Linked DNA regions of Anolis sagrei. The protein of the gene in region 2 binds, or shares a complex with, the protein of the main gene of each other region. Links are inferred from orthologs where the notes say so. Each region holds a gene or a part of one and is shown on either strand. Other genes may lie near its edges.

The links.
Region 1: the proteins of FARSB (region 2) and FARSA are in contact, whole or in part, in a crystal structure (PDB 3L4G), measured with the Homo sapiens proteins. The link is inferred for Anolis sagrei from reciprocal best matches to the Homo sapiens genes FARSB and FARSA. Residues at the interface, in NP_005678.3 of Homo sapiens: Glu26, Phe29, Gly32, Leu33, Pro68, Ala69, Asn70, Ile150, Arg152, Asp259, Thr261, Lys262, Arg305, Lys316, Lys317, Val318, Gly319, Ile359, His360, Cys362, Asp363, Glu366, Ala369, Ile370, Tyr374, Asn375, Ile377, Gln378, Met379, Thr380; in NP_004452.1 of Homo sapiens: Ser221, Gly222, His223, Leu224, His225, Leu227, Leu228, Arg231, Ser232, Arg235, Leu239, Gly242, Phe243, Thr244, Glu245, Pro247, Asp249, Asn250, Phe251, Ile252, Glu253, Ser254, Phe263, Gln266, Gln267, Phe277, Phe278, Leu279, Arg280, Asp281.

What each region holds. Positions count from the first base shown.
Region 1 is NC_090022.1:162,417,123-162,427,339, forward strand, and holds the start of FARSA (phenylalanine--tRNA ligase alpha subunit), read right to left. Parts: upstream 4,325-10,217; 5' UTR 4,310-4,324; coding exon 4,067-4,309; intron 775-4,066; coding exon 637-774; intron 390-636; coding exon 291-389; intron 1-290.
Region 2 is NC_090023.1:233,509,442-233,520,311, reverse strand, and holds the start of FARSB (phenylalanine--tRNA ligase beta subunit), read left to right. Parts: upstream 1-6,396; 5' UTR 6,397-6,414; coding exon 6,415-6,505; intron 6,506-9,556; coding exon 9,557-9,612; intron 9,613-10,638; coding exon 10,639-10,793; intron 10,794-10,870.

The DNA.
Region 1 (10,217 bases), on a different chromosome or scaffold from region 2:
CAGATTTTAAGGGTTTTTTTAAAGTTTCTATATAGCTGTTTTATTGCCTTGTAAAATGTTTTGACATGCATTGTTTTTACAGTCATAATTTTACTCTAACTCAACCAGAATAATCAGAAAACAGTGAGATATAAATAATTTTTATTAAACACAGTAGTAGTAATACAGAGATAGTGCTGCATTCAACAGTAATGTTGTTAAGGAAACTATGTAACCACTTTGAACACAAGGCAAGATACTGTCCTGCAGAAACAAATCCACAAGGTAGATAGAGAGCTAGAGTGACCTACCACCCGGAAGATCCGAGGTCCACCTTCTGAGTCCTTGTCTAGTTTGATCCATTTATTGGACATTGCTTTGCTGAATCCCACTTTTCCACTTGGGAGCTTCTACAGAGAAACAAAGGAAACATGAGCCCACAGGTGCAATGTCAAATGCTAACCTGCCCCCCATCACAAGCCCTAGCCAATATAAATAATGAAGAAACATAGTGCTCTTTCTGCTTCAAGTACATCTGGAGGAGAAGAAATTTGAACTGAGACCTCCATCAAATATTCAAACGGGGACAGATAAGGAAAGTCTACTCATTCTTCACTTACACTCTAGTTTAATCAGTATATGAGAAAAAAATATTACCATCAGCTCACTCTGGACCAGACCCTCAGAAGGGATGCTGTTAAAGACTCTAACTTCATGGCTTCCTTTTTGTACAATTTCTTGGCCCTCAGGTGTCAGCTCCCACTTCTTGGATGTACGCTGTTCTGCCTCAATCACCTAAACAGAAAATGAGAACATCTTCAAGGGTGGAAATCACCTAAATGAAATGGGATGGGGCTGAAAGTAGCAGCAGGGAGGGAGAAAAAAGATTTGAAAGAAAAAAAAGCAGTAACTGTGGTCCTAACCAGGAGCCAGCCCACAAACATACAGCCTCTCCCTTCCCTTTTCATCTGAAACAGCATCTGAAACACCATGAAAGCATCATATTTCCCACACAAAACAAGTTTATCCTGAGAAGAGAAGCCTGTGTCTGGATCAACCACTCCCATCTGACCTAGAGGTTCACATGGTCAATTGTTTTTGTACACTGGTGTGTGTGTGTGCATATATGTCAGGGAAAACATCATTCTGGCTTTATTCTAGCCCAACCTTCTCTCTCATAGGCTAGTTTTCTAAACTTCAGGGACATCTATTCACATTCCAACACATGAACCCTCACCTTCACTCTGTCGTCCTCAAGCTCACTGTGTGCAGGGAGATATGATGAAGCTATGGAAGCCATGACTGATTGATAACATTTCTTACCATTATTCCTTTAGAAGACATCTTTACTGGGATATCTCCTGAGATAACTGATTTCAAGTCAGAACAGGACTGACCTTGCACTAAAACATCACAGTGCAGTGGAAGTGCATTTCTGTCAACACTGAATATAATCCTTCTCCTTCTAAGGTTGGCTCTGCATCTCGTGGTGCCAGAGCGCAATCTGTTCAGCGCCTTCCAAGTCGCCCAGTTTTCTGTGTGCCCAGGGGGGAGTCTCTCATTTGGTATCAGCCATTGATTGAGGTTCTGGGTTTTAGCCTGCCACTTTTGGACTCCTGCTTGCTGAGGTGTTCCAGCGAGTGTCTCTGTAGATCTTAGAAAACTATTTCTTGATTTAAATTGTTGGCATTCTGGCTGATACCCAAACAAGGAGTGGGAAGGAGATGTCACTGCCTTAGTCCTTTCATTATTGGTTGCTACTCCCCTGTGGATGGCAGGTTGTGCGATACCAGCTAAACCAGGGTCCTCAAAACTAAGGTTCGGGGGCCGGATACGGCCCTCGAAGGTCATTTACCCAGCCCTTGCTCAGGGTCAACCTAAGTCTGAAATGACTTAAAAGCACACAACAACAACAACCCTATTTCATCAGCCAAAAGTAGGCCCACACTTCCCACTGAAATACTAATAAGTTTATATTTGTTAAAGTTGTTCTTCATTTTAATTATTGTATTGTTTTTGAGTGTTTTTTGCACTACCAATTAGATATGTGCAGTATGCATAGGAATTAATTCATGTTTTTTTTCAAATTATAATCCAGCCCTCCCAACAGTTTGAGGGACTGTGACCTGGCCCTCTGCTTAAAAAGTTTGAAGACCCCTGGGTTAAACAGTGTAATTTCTCCAGTGGTGTAGGGCGCAGACACCCCGTGATAATGCAGCATGTCTCATTAAGAGCCACATCCATTGTTTTAGCGTGGTGAGATGTGTTCCACACTGGGCATGCGTACTCAGCAGCAGAGTAGCATAGTGCAAGGGTGGATGTCTTCACTGTATCTGGTTGTGATCCCCAGGTTGTGCCAGTCAGCTTTCGTATGATATTGTTTCTAGCGCCTACTTTTTGCTTGATATTCAGGCAGTGCTTCTTGTAAGTCAGAGCACAGTCCAGAGTGACTTCCTGGTATTTGGGTGTGCTGCAATGCTCCAGTGGGATTCCTTCTCAGGTAATCCTCAGAGCTCAGGATGCTAATAATAATAATAATAAAAAAACTTTATTTGTACCCCGCTACCATCTCCCCAAGGGACTCGGTGCAGCTTACATGAGGCCAAGCCCACAATATCAATAAACAAAACATCAATAAAACAATCAATGCAATACAATTCAAATAAATCACATAAACAAAAAATAGGCAATAAACAATCAACAGTAACGTACAAGCATTTAAAACCAATGGCCGGGCCAAATGTAATAGATTAAAATTAAAAAATAATGCTGACGTGAACAAGGTAGGATATAACTGGGATAGGATTTTCAGAGAGAAATGAGGGAATGCAGTGGTAAAGTGCATTTTGAGGGCATATTGCTGAGAGTTTTCCTTATTCTGTGAAGGCACAATGGAACAACCACCTTTTCAGATTCCTCCTAAAGACTGCCAGAATTGGGGCATGTCTGATGTTCCTGGGAAGTGAGTTCCAGAGTTGGGGGGGGGGGGGCACCGAAAAGGCCCTCTCTGTTCTGCAGTTCTGCTTGCCTGAAGCTGTTCTGCTTGCCTGTTCTTAAAATGAAAAGCACATCTCTGTGTTTTAGATGGGTTACAAATCAGCTGGTTTTCCCTGTAATAGGCTGTAAGAGCACCTAGAGCAGTGTTTCTCAACCTGGGGGTCGGGAACCCTGAGGGGGTCGTGAAGGGGTGTCAGAGGGGTCACCAAAGACCATCAGAAAACACAGTATTTTCTGTTGGTCATGGGGGTTCTGTGTGGGAAGTTTGGCCCAATTCTCTCATTGGTGGGGTTCAGAATGCTCCTTGATTGTAGGTGAACTATAAATCCCAGTATCTACAACTCCCAAATGTCAAAGTCTATTTTTCCTAAACCCCATCAGTGTTAACATTTGGGCATACTGAGTATCCGTACCAAGTTTGGTCCAGATCCATCATTGTTTGAGCCCACAGTGCTCTCTGGATGTAGGCAAACTACAACTCCCAAACTCAAGGTCAATGCCCACCAAACCTTCCAGTATTTTTTGTTGATCATGGGAGTTCTCCGTGCCAACTTTGGTCCAATTCCATTGTTGGTGGGGTTCGGAATGCTCTTTGTTTACATGTTAACTATAAATTCCAGCAATTACAACTCCTAAATGATCGAATCAATTTCCCCGCCAACCCCACTAGTATTCAGATTTGGGCATACCGGGTATTTGTGCCAAATTTGCTCTAGTGACTGAAAATACATCCTGCAGATCATTATTTACATGGCGATTCATAATGTTAGGGTTATGGTTGGGGGTCACCACAACATGAGTAACTGTATTAAGGGGTCGCGGCATTAGGTTGAGAAACACTGACCTAGAGCTTCAGAGAGCTTCTGTTCAACCATCTCATAGCTCCCTGCTTGAGCGGTAATGGCACGATCATCAGTATAGATGAAACTCTGTCCCTTCTGGCAGTGGCTGGTCATTTGTGTAAATGTTGAACAGCCAATGAAACAACAGAAGAGGCGAGGTCAGCTCTTCAGGTGGTGGATCCCCTCAAGAGAGTGGCATCTCGAGGGGGCGTGGCCATGAGCAAGCCCCTCCCCCTCGGCCCTCTTACCTCGCCAAGCGACTGCAGGCTCTTCACCGCCCCGACAAGCACTTGGTGCTCCAAACCGAGGGCCGCGGCCGCCTCCAGGCTACAAATCCCGGCCTCGCCGTGAGCCCCCGCCGCCTCAAGCCGTCGTAAAAGCAGCTCCGCCGCTGACCCAGAGCTGGCAGCCGCCTCCCCCATGGTGGGAGACATCTTCCCGGCGCCTCCTGACAGGAAAGCGGAAGTGAGGACTAAGGGCTTCCGGCGCATAGAGTGCTTCCTGTGATAGAGCGTCCCTGGCGGAAACGGCTTCCTGTCGCGTCAAGTCGTCTTAGAAGCGGAGGGCTTGGGAGGCGGGAGGGCCGGAAGGGAGGAAAGCCGGCTGGATATATCTAGTGAACTTCCGGTTCCTCTCATACAGACCGAGGGCGCCATGTGCGTAGCAAAAGTCGACTAAAGTGCATCACATTGTCTCGTAAACATACCAGACAAGTCGGTCAGTGTTAGCATTGTCCAGAATTTACCTCAGGGTTGTAAATATAACGACCTGTTTAAGCTTTTCTCAGGCCCCTTCTACACTGCTCTTTAATAATCCAGATTATTATATATAGTTTTTCCGGTTTTTTGTATTTTTTCTTTTTCTCGTTATATTCTGACAATCTTCAAAACTTCTCTTCCTTTTCCTCTTTTTTTATATCTTATTTTCCTACTTTACTATCATACTAGCCGTCCCTTGCCACGTGTTGCTGTGGCCCAGTCTGGTGATCTGGAAAATAAAGTAATGAGAAAGTGTTGGTTTCTAATATATGTAATGTCTTTATGCTTGTGGGAAAACAGTATTTCTTGTGGTTTCTTTGTCAGTGTTGATGTGGAGAGTGTCTGGTTTGCCCACTCTGCAACATGCAACATATCATCGTCCTTCTCTACTAGTCCCTTTCAAATCTATGATACTCTATGTATGTGTGTGAATCATATCTATATCTATATAATCATATCTATATCACGGAGCCCCCGATGGTGCAGTGGGTTAAACCCCTGTGTCGGCAGGACTGAAGACTGACAGGTCGCAGGTTCGAATCCGGGGAGAGGCGGATGAGCTCCCTCTATCAGCTCCAGCTCCTCATGCGGGGACATGAGAGAAGCCTCCCACAAGGATGATAAAACATCAAAATCATCCAGGCGTCCCCTGGGCAACGTCCTTGCAGACAGCCAATTCTCTCACATCAGAAGCAACTTGCAGTTTCTCAAGTTGCTCCTGACACGACAAAAAAAATAAATAGATGCTGTCCTTGCAGACGGCCAATTCTCTCACAACAGGACACTCCTGACACACACACACAAAAAATCTATATCTTTGGCTGGATGGCTCTTTGTCAGGAGGGCTTTGATTAAGTTTTCTTGCCCTGGTGAAGGGAGTTGGACTGGGTGGCCTTAAGTATGGGGTTTCTGTGTGGGAAGTTTGGCCAAATTCTTTCGTTGGGGTTCAGCATGCTCTTTGATTGTAGGTGAACTAAAAAACCCAGCAACTACAACTCCCAAATGACAAAATTTTAAAAAATTGAGTGAATGACATACATTAGGTTGTTAAGTGTATGCTGTCCAAATTTGGTGTCACTTGGCTCACTGGTTTTTGAGTTCTGTTAATACCACAAACAAACATTACATTTTTATTTATATAGATTTTTGTTCTCCCACTTTACCTGTAGAACGAAAATACCTTCCCCTTTCCCCCCCTCATCTCTAATAAAATATATATTTTGAAAAATCTAGATTATTTGCTTTGAACTGAATTATATGGCAGTGTAGACTCATATCCAGTTCAAAGCAGATAATCTGGATTATCCAGTAGATAGTACAGATTATCTGCTTTGATCATCAGTGTAGAAGGGTCCATAGTCATCTCTGAGTTTCAGGCACCCTGATTTCGTAAAATAGATTTATTTCCAAGGGGCCGGAGGTTTAGCACAGCTGGTAAATCGTCAGCAATTGTAAGATCTATCAACCAGAAAGGTTCCAAGTTCGAACCCCGGGTTTGGCATGAGCTGCCAAATGACACCCTAGCTCATTGTTTACCTAAGCAATTCGAAAACAGCTTTAGCTGTAATTAGAGAAATTAGGTACCGCTAAAAAATGAAGGAGGAAGTCCTGACAGCTCTTCATCATAGAGTAGTGGTTCTCAACCTGTGGGTCCCCAGATGTTTTGGCCTTCAACTCCCAGAAATCATAACAGCTGGTAAACTGGCTGGGATTTCTGAGGGTTGTAGGCCAAAACACTTGGGGACCCACAGGTTGAGAACCACTGTCATAGAGCAACAGCACCCCCTGGATTCAAGCCCAACTTTCCATGGCATCAAAAAAAATAACAACCAGATCAAACTTTATATTCCTCCCTGTCCCCCCTGGAGATTCAGGGCGACTCACATAAAAAGGCAAATATCCAATGCCTTGTAATAAGTAAGTAATGCAATCTAAACAAAATACAGTGTAAATAGTATAAAACAAATAGTTAGAAAAGCAATAACAACCATCCTATGAAACACATTTAAACAACATTAGTAAAGGGGAAATTTAGATCATCCCAAACACAGCCATATAACCCAGAATTAGCAAGCCTCGCAGTTGCTAATTTGTTATCAGTAAATGATTGTATACTTATTTTATATACCTGGGGTCTCCTAAAAATTTCTCAGGGAGAAAGGGGTCTTCAGTTTAAAACCCTGGTCTAGGTTAGGTTAGGTTACAGTGTCACCTACTAAACGATGCTGAGAAAGGTCCTTATAACATTTCTGATTTAACCATTTCTTTTCTCAGTTTCATGGTCCTTCCACACAGCCCTATATCCCAGAATATCAAAGCAGAAAATCCCACATTATCTGAGTGTGGACTTAGATAACCCAGGTCAAAGCAGATATTGTGGGATTTTCTGCCTTAATATTCTGGGATATGAGGCTGTGTGGAAAGGCCCTCAGCTTGCTAGTACAATTTCAAATACTGTTTTCTTAAACAAAATAACAGATTAGATTGATCGGAGTTAGGTAAATGTAAATTAAGTGGGCATATGAAATGAATTAGATAGTATTAATAGTAGTAGTTCCCCATTTTCTCTCTTGATCAAAACTCGAAGTAGCTCACAATCTTTAAAAAAAACCCAATATAAACCTATAAAATATAAATATTAAAATAAATTCAAGCATACAATTATTAAAACAAGTTAGTTAAAATTGCATTAAACAAGCAAGTCAAACTTAAAAACAATTGCAACACAATACATCACCCACTGGCTTGGTCTTAAAACCTCTGCTGACCTGCACATAAACACTTCCTTTTTCTCTTTATTATAGCTAATTAATTACGGCTACTGTCCAACCAGAATATTTTATTGGCAAATTGTCAGAAATTGAGAGTGTAAAATCATAGACTAAGTAGTATGTCTTGGTGCCAGCATAAATGCATGTACAATATCCAGCATCGTAGGAGGTGGCATTTTGCTCTGTAAATGTCAAAATAGCCATCTTGTTCCGTTCCATAATGACAGAGGCAAAAAGGTCACATTTCTTGAGTATCGGCCTTTCCATTTTACAGCTGTTGCCATGCTGATTGGTCAGCAAGCTCAGAACAGCGTCTTATCTCAGTCTTTCCTTCAAGCGACTGCCTGTTGCATTTCCCAGGCCACTTCCACTGTAAGTAAACAGGAAATCAGATCATATTACGTAATTATAGCACAGATGTGAAAACTTTGTTCCCCTGACAATCAAGGTCATCCATTCTGCCAGTTATTTTAAAACAACATCTGCCAGCAAATAAATGTGCCTTTTCTTCCTCTCTAAAATTGAAAATGACAGAGTCAATATTATCACTGTGCTATGACTCCTCGTGTAATTCCCATTAGATATGTTATGTTATGTTTCTTTGTATGTCTAGAAAAAAAAATGCATTTCTCCAAAGGGCCTCTGGGCTGCTTTAGTGTTATTTTTGGAGTGCCTTTACATATTTTAGGGCCTTCAGACAGTTAAATGAAAGAGAAAAGGTCCTACTTCCCCATTAAAAGGGGGTGGGCGGAGTGAGAAGATAGGAAGGCTAAATGAACACTGGACCAAATAAGAAACCAGTAAGAATGAGTAGTGGGCATAAGAGACATTGGAGTGCTAAGGCAGGACAAGATGCGTACTTCTACTAGTGAATAACTTGTATAGTAGCCTTGTCCAAGCCCAGTAGTTGCCATCTCTATAGCTAGCCAATGTATCTGAAGCATCCCAGATTTGGAAAACCGTTTGTAGAATGTTAGGATGCCCTTGCAGCAGTGGAGTTCCAACCATTGGTTTTTTAAAAAAAAAAAAACCCTCTCAAGATCCCACCATTCTGGATAGTTATCAACCAGTCTTTAACATTGAATTTGGGCAAGATTTTGAGTATGTGGTGACTTCCCAGCTCAAGGGGGCTTCTGGATAAAGTTGATTATCTAGATCAGTTTCAAACTATTCATATTTTCACTCAAAGTTAACCCTTGCCAAGTACTGTGGGCTTGCATCCAGATTAAGTATATATCAGGAGCACCTGGTGGCCCAGTGGGTTAAACCACTGACCTGAGGTCACAGGTTCAAATCTGAGGAACAGGGTGAGCTCTTGCTCTTAACCCCAGCTTCTGCCAACCTAGTAGTTCGAAAACATGCAAATATGAGCAGATCAATAGGTACCATTCTGGCAGGAAGGTAACGGCACTCCATGCAGTGTTGCCGGCCACATGACCTTGGAGGTGTCTACGGAAAATGCCGGCTCTTTGGCTTAGAAATGGAGATGAACCCCACCCCCCAGAGTCGGACACAACTGGACTTAATGTCAGGGGAAAACCTTTACCCTGACAAACCTTTACCTAAGTACAGGGTGAGGCAGCATAACTTCCTTTTTTCAAAACTTAATAAAACCCATTGTATGAATCAGAAAAAATTATAATGTAGGCGCATACCTAAAGTTTTCTTTTACGTAGTTTTGAAGATCAAATTAGGTAGGAGACGTCCCCCAGTCTCTATTCTCCATACACTGAGTAAACCAATTTCTGGCATTTGTCATGACTCTTGCCAGAATAGCAAGCGTTATGTTGGAAATTTCTTCCTGGATGTTGGTCTTCAAATCTTGTACGGTCCTTGGATGGTTTACATAAACACGGGATTTCAAAAAGCCCCATAGGAAAAAAATCACAAGGGGCCAAATCTGGAGAGCGGGCCGGCCACTCCAAATCCGCTCGAAAAGTAGGCCTCAACAGCAACGCATGATGGTGACTGAACTCAAAGTAGCTTTATACTCCCGCCTCTCGAACAAGACCACTAACGCTCTGCTACATCTTCAACTGACTGAATGAAGTTATGCTGCCTCACCCTATATATCTCTGAATATTCTTTGCCTAAGAAAACCCTATGAAATTCATGAAGTCACCATAAATCAACAGGTAACTTGAAGGTGTGCATACACAAAGGAATCTAGCATAACATAATTTTATTGAAACACACATACTTTCAGAGATGATAGTCTATTTCAGCAAGTAATAAAGCAAGCAGTGTGAGAATCTAAGAACTGTAAATTAGTATCAGTCATGAAGGATACATGAGTGATACATTTCTTATGCAAACATAGTAAATGTGCAGAGTAAAAATATACTGTATCACAGTATGTTTTGGAAGAGTGAATATAAACAAAACAAAACAAAAAAACCCCAAACCACCACATTTTTAGCATGTGTCCTGATTATTCCGGTGCTCTCAGAAGCTATTGTACCCATATTATTAACTTCAAAGCACCATGTTACAAGTTACTCATTAAGATCTGATGTTTTTTGCCTTTAGTATCTCAGAGAGCTGTACCTGTTTATTTATGATGATTAACATCTTTAAAACAGGGCTTTCTGCTTATCAGGAAACTAGGTTTTTGTCTTGTAAACAGCAACTTTGATTTCCAGGAATTAATGGGTGAACCATTTCATGCTATGGATACAACAATGACCACTCGTGCAGGGAGGGACAAGGTACATCTCTGGGGCTACAGATATCAAGGTGGTATTTGTAACCCTTGTCCCCTGAAGAGCTCCCCCAATGACCAAAAGGGGAAGGAAGGAAAAAATGGTTGCTCCTAGGAACGACTGTCCAGTTTGGAAAAAAAGTATTATTTTCAAAATCAGAAAAAGATT
Region 2 (10,870 bases):
CCAGTGATCACAGAACATTACCTCAGAAAATAGTGTGTTGCTGGCAAAGTCTTAGCAGCCTCCAAACACTAAATTGAATTTGTACAATAATCCTTTACAATTGGTGATACAGTGGTGGGATTACCAAAGGAAATGTTTTCCTGCCAGAAGATTGTTTGAGTTGGCTTTTTAATTAAATTAATAAATCCCCCAATATTTTACAGTGGACAAATGTCAGCATGCTGGAAGAAGCAAAGACCACCAGCACTGAAGAGATGCTCCTCTACCATCAACTTCGCTTGACTGGCCACGTTGTCTGAATGCCCAATCACCATTGCCCAAAGAAGTTAAACTACTTTGAACTCAAGAATGGGAAATTGAATGTTTGTGGACAGGAAAAAAGATTCAAAGATGTGCTTAAAGCCAACTTTAAAAACTGTGGCATAGATACCGAGAACTGGGAAGCCCTGGCCCTTGAGCGCTCTAACTGGAGTCAGTTGTGACCAGCAGTGCTGCAAAATTTGAAGAGGCATGAATGGAGGGTAAAAGGGAGAAACATGCTGAGAGGAAGGCACATCAAGCCAACCTTGACTGGGACCACCTTCCATCTGGACTCCAATTTCCTCATTGCGGGAGAACATGCGAATCAAAACTAGGGCTCCACAGCCACCTACAGATCCACCGCCTAGACACCCATCTGGAAGACAATAATCCTTGAGCTATAACGGATCGCTTAAGTAAGCATTCCCAATGAATTGGTCAAGCCTCTTGAATTAAATAAGATCCTGTTGTGAGTTTGGGGAAAACAGACCTTGCCATTTGGGAGTTATAGTTGCTTTAGCAAATGCAACTAACATGGATTAGAAGGCACGATCATCAAGTTTGCAGATGACACCAAATTGGGAGGGATAGCCAATACTCCAGAGGACAGAAGCAGAATTCAAAATGACCTTAACAGATTTGAGAGATGGGCCAAAAGTAACAAAATGAAGTTCAACAGGGACAAATGCAAGACACTCCACTTAAGCAGAAAAAATGAAATGCAAAGATACAGAATGGGGGATGCGTGGCTCAATAGCAGTATGTGTGAAAAAGATCTTGGATTCCTCGTGGACAGGAAGGTGAACGTGAGCCAACAACGCCATGCAGCAGCTAAAAAAAAGCCAGTGGGATTTTGGCCTGCATAAATGGAAGTATAGTGTCCAGATCCAGGGAAGTCATGCTACCCCCTCTATTCTGTCTTGGTCAGAGCACACCTGGAATATTGTGTCCAATAGGAGGGTGACTAAAATAATCAAAGGTCTGGAGAACAAGCCCTATGAGGATTGGTTTAAAGAGCTGGGCATGTTTAGCATTCAGAAGAGAAGGCTGAGAGGAGGCATGATGAGGACCGTGTATAAAGATGTGAGGGGAAGTCATAGGGAGGAGGGAGCAGGCTTGTTTTCTGCTGCCCTGGGACTAGGACGCAATGGAATAATGACTTCAAACTACAGGAAAGAAGATTCCAGCTGAAGATTAGGAGGAACTTCTTAACTGCGAGAGCGGTTCAGCAGTGGAACTCTCTGCCTCAGAGTGTGGTGGAGGCTCCTTTGGAGGCTTTTAAGCAGAGACTGGCTGGCCATCTGTCGGGGGTGCTTTGAATGTGGTTTTCCTGCTTCTCGGCAGGCGGTTGGACAGGATGGCTCATGAGGGCTCTTCCAACTCTATGACTCTATGACATATAACTATAAATTAAAACCATTGAAATCATACTAAACATGAAAGATAAACATTTGGAGAAATAAAAAATAGAATTAAAACATCTTATTATTAACATTAATATCACATAATCCAGAATCGTGACCTGAAGCATTCCAATTGTCAACGCACATATATCCAGGCAGATAATCCACAATATCTGCTTTGAATTGGGTTCTCTGAGTCCAGACTGCCATATAATCCAGTTCAATGTGAATTTTATATAGCTGTGTGGAAGGGGCCTAAGAAGTGTTTTGGGGAAATTATTTCCCTTCTTCTAATCAAAGTTTGACCAGTCTGTGGCCTGCTTTTTTCTGGGTTATATGGCTTTGTGGAAAGGACTTGGGATTCACACTAGGCAACATGTGGACTGAGGTATTCTCGGAGTTACAGTAACATTTTAAGGTCTGGAAGGGAGAAAAAAAGTTACTTTGTGTATAAACATGCATGGAATTGTGATATAATAGACAGAGCTTATCTACTGCTGTCAAACTATCAGAATCTCTTGTATTGCTGTCAAACCATCAGTATCTCTAAGGACTCTACTACACTGCCATATAAAATCCAGATTACCTCCTTTGAATTGGATTATATAGCAGTGTAGACTCATATAATCCAGTTTAAAGCATGAGTAGATTGTCTGCATTGATATATGGCAGTGAAGAAGGGGCCTAAGAAATAAAAGCATACAAAATATTAAATTCACAGATTATTTTTTAAAAAAAAATCAGATTTAAAAAACAACTTCATTGTAATAAATCCCTACATTATGAAAAAGGCAACAGTGCCCCCTACAGGAGAATATCTCAAACTGGGAAGCTTCAAAAGTTTTTTCACTTCAATTCATTGCCATTGTTTTGCTATCAATCACTGCCTTATAGAATTGAGCCCCCACCCCCACCCCCACCCCACCCCACACACACAAGTGTAACACTCCAATTTACTGTATTTTCTGGCATATAAGACTATTTTTAAACTCAGGAAAATCTTCCTAAAAGTTGGGGAGTCGTCTTATTGCTGGGCGTCGTCATATAGAGTGCGTGCTGAAACTTCTGAGCCAGGCTGGAGAATCTGTAGTCGCCACATATGGTGGGGGGGGGGGGGGGCTCAAAACCGGCCACGGCTGCATCCCTGCCATATGTGGCAACTGTATGAAAATAGCAAGGGCGCCGCCGTACAAGTACAGTAGAAGAAAATCCACTCATTGGGATTCATGGAAATAAGTGACTTAACGCAGTTCCAATGATGAGGTGAGGGGGCATCTCACCGGGAAGGTGTAAGTGTAGGTGTCCGGGACACCCGGGGTATGGAAAAAAGAAACAGAGCTGAGCTGTGCCCAGAAAAACACACCTCTTTTACCTGTCTGGTCCGCCCTTGTATCCTATTACCCTACCTCCTTCTCTGCCTCTCAGATCTCGCTCCTGCAGTGAAGTGGCACAGCCGTGCATGTGTGAGATCTGAGAGGCAGAGAAGGAGGTACGGTAATAGGAAAATAAAATCTGATTTTTAAAATTTTTACAGTGTTCCCTTGCTGTTTCGCAGTTTGCTTTCTGCGGACTCGCTGTTTTGCGGTTAGGGTTTAGAATATTCTAAACTTAAAGCCTAACCGCAAAACAGTGAGTCTGCGGGCTCCAGGGCTGCTGGGGTGAGGTGGGGAAGCTGGCCTCGGTTGGATCGGCCAGGGCCGGCTTCCCCACCTCGCTCCAGCAGCCATGGAGCCCTGTGGAAGTCCAGCGCAGAGCTGCAAAGGCTGCTGGGGCATTTGGCCCTAGCCGATGCAACCAGCGGATTGGCCAGGGCCAGCTTCCCTATTTCGCCCCAGCAGCCTTTGCAGTGCTACCCTGGACCTCCATGGCTGTCAGGGCGAGATGGGGAAGCCGGCGTTGGCCAATCTGCTGGTTGGATTGGCCATGGCCGGCTTCCCCACCAGCCATGGAGCCCTGCGGAGGCCCTGAGCAGCCTGTAAAGGATGCTGGGGTGAGGTGGGGAAGCTGGCCCCGGCCGATCCAGGGGCGAGGCCTGCTGCCAGTTGGCCCGCTGGCCAAGCGGCGAGAGAGTTCCTGCCACTCAGGGGGCTTCTGGGAAGAAGCCTCCTGCAAGCAGCATGGCCAGCAGGGCACCCACCGCCGGAATGGCCCTTGCCCGGTATATTCTAGCTGTCCCCTCCCATGCATTGCTGTGGCCCAGTCTGTGTAAATGTGTCTTGTGTGTGTATATGTATGTGTTTGCATTTATATATGTGGTTTTGTGCATACGGTGTAATGCATTTTTTATGTTTTGGCTGTTTAAGTTTTTTCTACTATGTTTTTCAGTGTTTGCTCACTTGTCGACCTGATAGGTGTATTGTGTCCAAATTTGGTGTCAATTCATCCAGTGTTTTTTGAGTTATGTTAATCCCACAAGCAAACATTACATTTTTATTAAGAGAGAGAGAGAGAGAGCGTCCCTACATCACGGTTTTTCACTTATCGTGGGTGGTCCTGGAATTTAAGGTCCGCAATAAGTGAGGGAACACTGTATTTTGTGTGCGTTGGAAGAGGGGTAGTCTTATATGGTGATTATATCTCAAACTACATTTTAACAGGAAATGTTGGGGGTCGTCTTATATGCCCGGTTGTCTTAAACGTTGGAAAATATGGTACATCCAGAAGCTTTGTTTTGCTTTGTTTGTTGCTTTACAATACTAAAATATGTGGTACCACCTAATTTAGCTGACGTAAAGAGTGACGGATCAAGGCTGAGGGTACATCTGACTTACTTACTTACTTAGGCGATCCTTCGTTGGACGAGTAAGATGGTCTTCCTTGATGACTATTTTTGTGGGTTTGTGGGTGGCCTTGGAGCCCTATTCTTGACCCGCATCTTCTCCCACAGTGAAGGCATTGGTTTCCAGGTGGAAGGTGGTCCCGGTCGGGGTTGGCTTGACGCGCCTTCCTCCTGGCATGTTTCTCTCATTCACCCTCCACTCGTGCCTCCTCGAATTCTGCAGCACTGCTGGTCACAGCTGACCTCCAGCTGGAGCGGTCAAGGGCCAGGGCTTCCCAGTTCTCAGTGTCTATGCCAGAGTTTTTAAGGTTGGCTTTGAGGCCATCTTTAAATCTCTTTTCCTGTCCACCAACATTCTGCTTTCTGTTCTTAAGTTCAGAGTAAAGCAACTGCTTTGGGAGGCAGTGGTCAGGCACCCGGACAACATGGCCGGTCCAGCGGAGTTGATGGCAGAGGACCATCGCTTCAATGCTGGTGGTCTTTGCTTCTTCCAGCACGCTGACGTTTGTCCGCTTGTCTTCCCATGAGATTTGCAGGATTTTCCGGAGGCAGCGCTGATGGAATCATTCCAGGAGTTGCATGTGATGACAGTCCACGTTTCGCAGGCATATAGCAGGGTTGGGAGGACAATAGCTTTATAGAGAAGCACCTTGGTATCCCTACGGATGTCCCGGTCCTCAAACACTCTCTGCTTCATTCGGGAAAATGCTGCACTCGCAGAGCTCAGGCGGTGTTGTATTTCGGTGTCGATGTTGACTTTGGTGGAGAGGTGGCTGCCAGGGTAGGAGAAATGGTCAACATTTTCTAATGTTACACCATTAGGTTGTATCTCTGGCATTGAGGAGGGGATGGCTGGCGACTGCTGGAACAGCACTTTGGTTTTCTCGATGTATGCTTCTGTGAAGGTGTTTAGAGTGGCTTGTAGATCTTCTTCTGAATGCGCATAGACGACGTTGTCATCAGCATACTGATGTTGTTGTAACCTTGGTTTTGGCTTTCAGTCTGCTGAGGTTGAATAGCTTGCCATCTGTCCGATAGATGATTTCCACTCCGGTGGGAAGCTTCCCATTAACAAGGTGAAGTATCATAGCGATGAAGATGGACAATAGAGTTGGGGCAATAACACATCCCTGTGTTATTGCCTCTCCATCCACGAAGAGGGAAACAGGGAAATATCTGAATAACCCTAACCCTATCCCAGGCATGACCAAACTTTGTCCCTCCAGGTATTTTGGACTTCAATTCCCACAATTCCTAACATGCCTGATCTTGAGCATTACCTTATTGCCCGATCTACACTGTTGAAATTAATTAATACAGCTTCACCCCATTGTCACAGTTCAATGGTATAGAATCCTTGGGAGTTCTAGTTTGGTGAAGCAACACTGCAACACGCAGGATTCCCTAGCACTGAGCCATGGCTATTAAAGAGGCGCCAAGTACATTAATTCTATTTACCAAATTCTATTTACAATTCCATTTACCAAAGTAGTGCTTTTTCCAGGACCGAGCGGGAATCGAACTCAGACGCCCAAATGCTATAGTCCAACTCTCAAACCACTACACCACGGTAGCTATACCCCAGCTTCCTTAGACCGGAAGTCAGGTGCAGTCAATCCCTTCAATTTGTCTACTCCTACGTCAGTCTTCAGAGGCTCCTGCTGATGAAACACTCCAAATTTTAGCTGTCTATAATATGCCTGATAGAAACACTTTAAATTTCGTACAAGTTCTTAGTTGCACGGCGAAGTACACTAAGAATAGTTAAGGCGTGGGCGATAATATCGAGAGGTTTATTCTTCTAGACCACCGAGGAGGGAAACGGAGGGGCGCCATTGGAGCAGGCACGAACAAAGACAGAAGTATTGGTCGCCGTGGATGGAAAGGTCCAGCCCGGCGAAGGGTCCTTCCTCGATAGAGTGCGAGTGGCGCATGCGCTCTGAGGTGGTTCTCTTCCAGTCAGCCATGCCGACTGTCAGCGTGAAGCGAGATCTGCTCTTCCAAGCGCTGGGAAGGAGTTACAGTAAGAAGGAAGGGGAAGGAGAGGAGGGCTGTTGGGTGTCTTTGGAGCACTCCTTCCTTAGGCCTGAGGGGTTGCCAAGGAAATGTCATTTGCTGCTTCAATGTCAGGACTTTGAATGGGTGCTTCTACACAGTAGCATTAACGCAGTTTGGAACCGCTTTAACTGCCACGGCTCAATGCTATGGAATCCTGGGAGCTGTAGTTTAGTGCAAGGCCAGCCCTCTTTGGCACAGAAGCCTAAAGGCCTTGTAAAACTACAGCTCCCATATTTTTTTCGTCATGTCAGAAGCAACTTGAGAAACTGCAAGTCGTTTCTGGTTTGCGAGAATTCGCCGTCTGCAAGGATGTTGCCCAGGGGACACCAGGATGTTTTGATCTTTTACCATCCTTGTGGGAGGCTTCTCTCATGTGCCCGCATAAGGAGCTGGAGCTGACAGAGGGAGCTCACCCGCGCTCTCCCCTATGGGTCTTCAGTCCTGCTGGCACAGGGGTTTAACCCTCTGCGCCACAGCTCCCATGATTCCATGGCAATCTGCACTCGTTCTATAGTATTGATGCACTTCATGGCAGTGTTTCCTAAATCTTGCTATTCTGGACTTCAACTTCCCTCTACGTATCTCCCTCTACGTGTCTCCGTCTACGCGCCACCTCGTAGTTTAAGATCCACTGGGGAGGCCCTGCTCTCGGTCCCACCAGCCTCGCAAACATGACCGGTGGGGATGAGGGACAGGGCCTTCTCGGTGGTGACTCTGCCTCTTGTGGAATTCGCTCCCCAGCAAGATTAGATCGCCGTCCTCCCTCCTTTCCTTTAGGAAAAAACTGAAATCATGGTTTTGGAACCAGGCCTTTGGCTAGCAGGCACTTTGGACACTGAATTGGACCATATGACGATCGTTATGATAATGGAAATGGCTACTATGAATGATTAATTATTGTTATTGTTTTAATGTATTGGGTATTTATGGTTTCTATATTATTGTATATTGTGTTATTGTGGCATCTAATTGCTGCCTGTGTTAGCCACTCTGAGTCCCCCCTCCGGGGTTGAGAAGGGTAAGGTAGAAATTCTGTAAACAAATAAATAAACTCACTACCTCTGAGGATTCTTGCCATAGATGCAAGTGAAACGTCAGGAGAAAATGCCTCTAGAACATGGCCATATAGCTCGGAAAACCTACAACAACCCAATAAATAAACTCCCTGAATTCCTAACAGTTGGCCAAGTTGACTAAAGCTTCTGGGAGCTGAAGTCCAGAATATCAGGAAGGCCAATGAGATGGAGAAATCACAATTTGATGTGTCCTAGATGTTGTCTAAAAGTGTTTCAGAAGCCTTAAATGACTTTAGTTCAGGCATGGGCAAACTTCAGCCGTTGGGGTGTTTTGGACTTCAACTCCCACAATTCCTAACAGCCTACCGGGTGTTAGGAATTGTGGGAGTTGAAGTCCAAAACACCCCAACGGCTGAAGTTTGCCCATGCCTACTTTAGTTCTTCAAGCCCTTTGCGAAAGCCCTTTTCTGTTTCTCATTTTTTTCCATGTAGGTGGAATGTTGCTCTGTTGTTGAAAAGAGGCTTTGGGGAGAATGGCAGGAGTATGTTTTGATCCTGCAGATGCATGTACAAATTGGAAAGGGAAAGTAACACTGGGCACAGAAAATATGTGATGTTTGTGCCAGTGAAGGGGCTGATAAGGAAAGCAAGAAGACCACACATGAGGTTGCTGTCAGTTTTCCGGGCTGTATGGCCATGTTCCTGAAGCTTTCTCTCCTAACATTTCGCCCACATCTATGGCAGGCATCCTCAGAGGTTGTGAGATCTGTTGGAAACTAGGCAATTGAGGTTTATATATCTGTGGAATTTCCAAGGTGGCAAATTGCAACATTCACACTTGCCTCAAGCAGACAAGAGTTCTTTCTCCCACCTCGGTCATTCCACAGATATATTAACTTCACTTGCATAGTTTTCAACAGACCTCACAACAGACCTGACATAGCTGTGGGCAAATCGTCAGGAAAGAATGCTTCTGGAACATGGTCATACAGCCTGGAAAACTCACAGCAACCCTGTGATTCCGGCCATGAAAGCCTTCGACAAATCATTCCACACATAAGGGTTTGTTTATATGAGAAAATTCTCTTCTCAGTTGACAATATCGTATGTTATATTGTCATTCTGGAAAGAGCACTGCATGTGTGAAGAACAAGTGATGTTAATATCATAGTCATCTGGACACTGAATCCTAGAATCAGTGAATTGGAAGAGACATCAAGAGGCATCCAGTCCAACTCCCTGCCATGCAGGAAAAGCACAATCAAAGCAACCCCCCCCCCCCCCCCCCGAGAGATGGCCATCCAGACTCTGTGTAAAGGGATTCAAGGAAGGAGCTTCCACCACACTCTGAGGCAAGAGAGTTACACGGTTGTACAGATCTTACAGTCAGAATATCAGAATATCTGCTTTGAACTGGGTTGTCAGGGTCCACACTGCCAGATATTCCAGTTCAAAGCAGAAAATGTGGGGTTTTATTCAGCTGTCCTAGGGCTTTTCTACACAGCTATATAACCTGGAATATCAAGACAGAAAATCCCACAATACCTCCTTTGAACTGGATTAGCTGAGTCCACACTGACATATATTCTAGTTCATAGCAGAAAATGTGGGACTTTATTCAGCTGTGTGAAAGGGGCTGCAGGGCCCTTCCACACAGCCCTATATCCCAGAATATTAAGACAGAAAATCCCACAATATCTGCTTTGAACCGGGTTATATGTGTCCACACACAGATAATATGGGATTTTCTGCCTTGATATTCTGGGATATAGGGCTGTGTGGAAGGGCCCTCTGTCTCCAGGGCAGCAGAACCTGTCTTTTCTGCACACCATTAGGACACCATTGTCAGTACTGCTGGAGTAAACCCAAATTGTATATCAAGACAGAATAATACTCTTTTATTTATTTTTTTAAAAGAGGACTTGCTGAATAGTTTTATGTATATTGGAACTAATTATAGGATGAAAAATCTGATGTACTATATTGTGATTTAATTTCAGCGGATGAAGAATTTGATGAGCTGTGCTTTGAATTTGGTTTAGAACTTGATGAGATTGTAAGTAATTGCTTTTATTTTTATATAGGAATATATAAACGAATGCTGTAGTACTTAGGAAACTGCCATGAGAGAGTAAAAATCCAGTGTAAGCTTTTATGGTTTTTAACCCGTTTCACCAGTTGTGAGACCTGTAAAAAAAAAGCCATGTAAACTAAATTAGATTGTACATGGTGCAATCAAATTCCTCTCCTTCTAAAACCATTATTACCCTATCCTGTAAATAGCTTGGCCTTATAATGAAGTCTCAGAACATTTTATAGTCTGGATGTTTTGTCTTAAATTCTCAATACCCTGCGAATAGGATAGCAGGAAGTAAACAATGCATCTTGTATCTGTAGCATACCTGTAAAATATTATAATAATGTTGATTTACCGAATGTATTTTAACTTGTTTATGGTGAGTTAGTTGCAATAAGAAGAGTCTCCAAATTGTGGGATTTTAAAACACTCAGAAACCATTGGCAACCAATCAATTAAGTTTATATTATGTTGTCTGTTCTGTACCCCATCAGGTTGTTGCTACTGGAACTGGTATAATTGGAGCAGTGTTTCTCAAACTCTGTCCAAAACATCTGGAGGAGCACAGTTTGAGAAACTTTGAACTGGAGGAAGTAATTGCTATCATTATGTACTATTAAGTACATATTGTTAACCATGGCATCAGTTATCTTTGAGGTAGCTTGTAGCAAGAGAAAGGTTTCAGCTTGATGCAAACTAGGATGTGTTTTCTTTATCACAGGCTAAAATCATGTGTGCAGTTATTAGAAGATACTTGATTGAATTTAGGTGACATTTTTGCTAGTCATGTTTAGGATTATCAAACATGATGATTTGAGCTGATTCGGACTAGGTTGATTCTGATTTGTATAAGTTTTTAATTTGTAAAAAGCTATGTTTCAAATATTTCTGTAACTGTTAATCTGTGTATGAGAGCATATTAAACTCATTGTATTTTCCAATTGACACACATTTATTGTACAAGGGTTTTGAGATGTATTTCCTGATTTTTTTTGTTCATTTCAGACTTCTGAGAAGGACATAATAAGTAAAGAGAAAGGTGATGGAAAAGCAGAGGGTGCATCAGACGTCATTCTTTATAAAATTGATGTTCCTGCTAATCGCTATGATCTCCTTTGCTTGGAAGGTCTAGTCAGAGGTCTTCAGGTCTTTAAAGAGAGGTAATGTGGTATTTGGAAATATTATTTTTATGCTATTACTAGGCTGACGTAGTTGACAATCAGAGGAAGCACTTAAA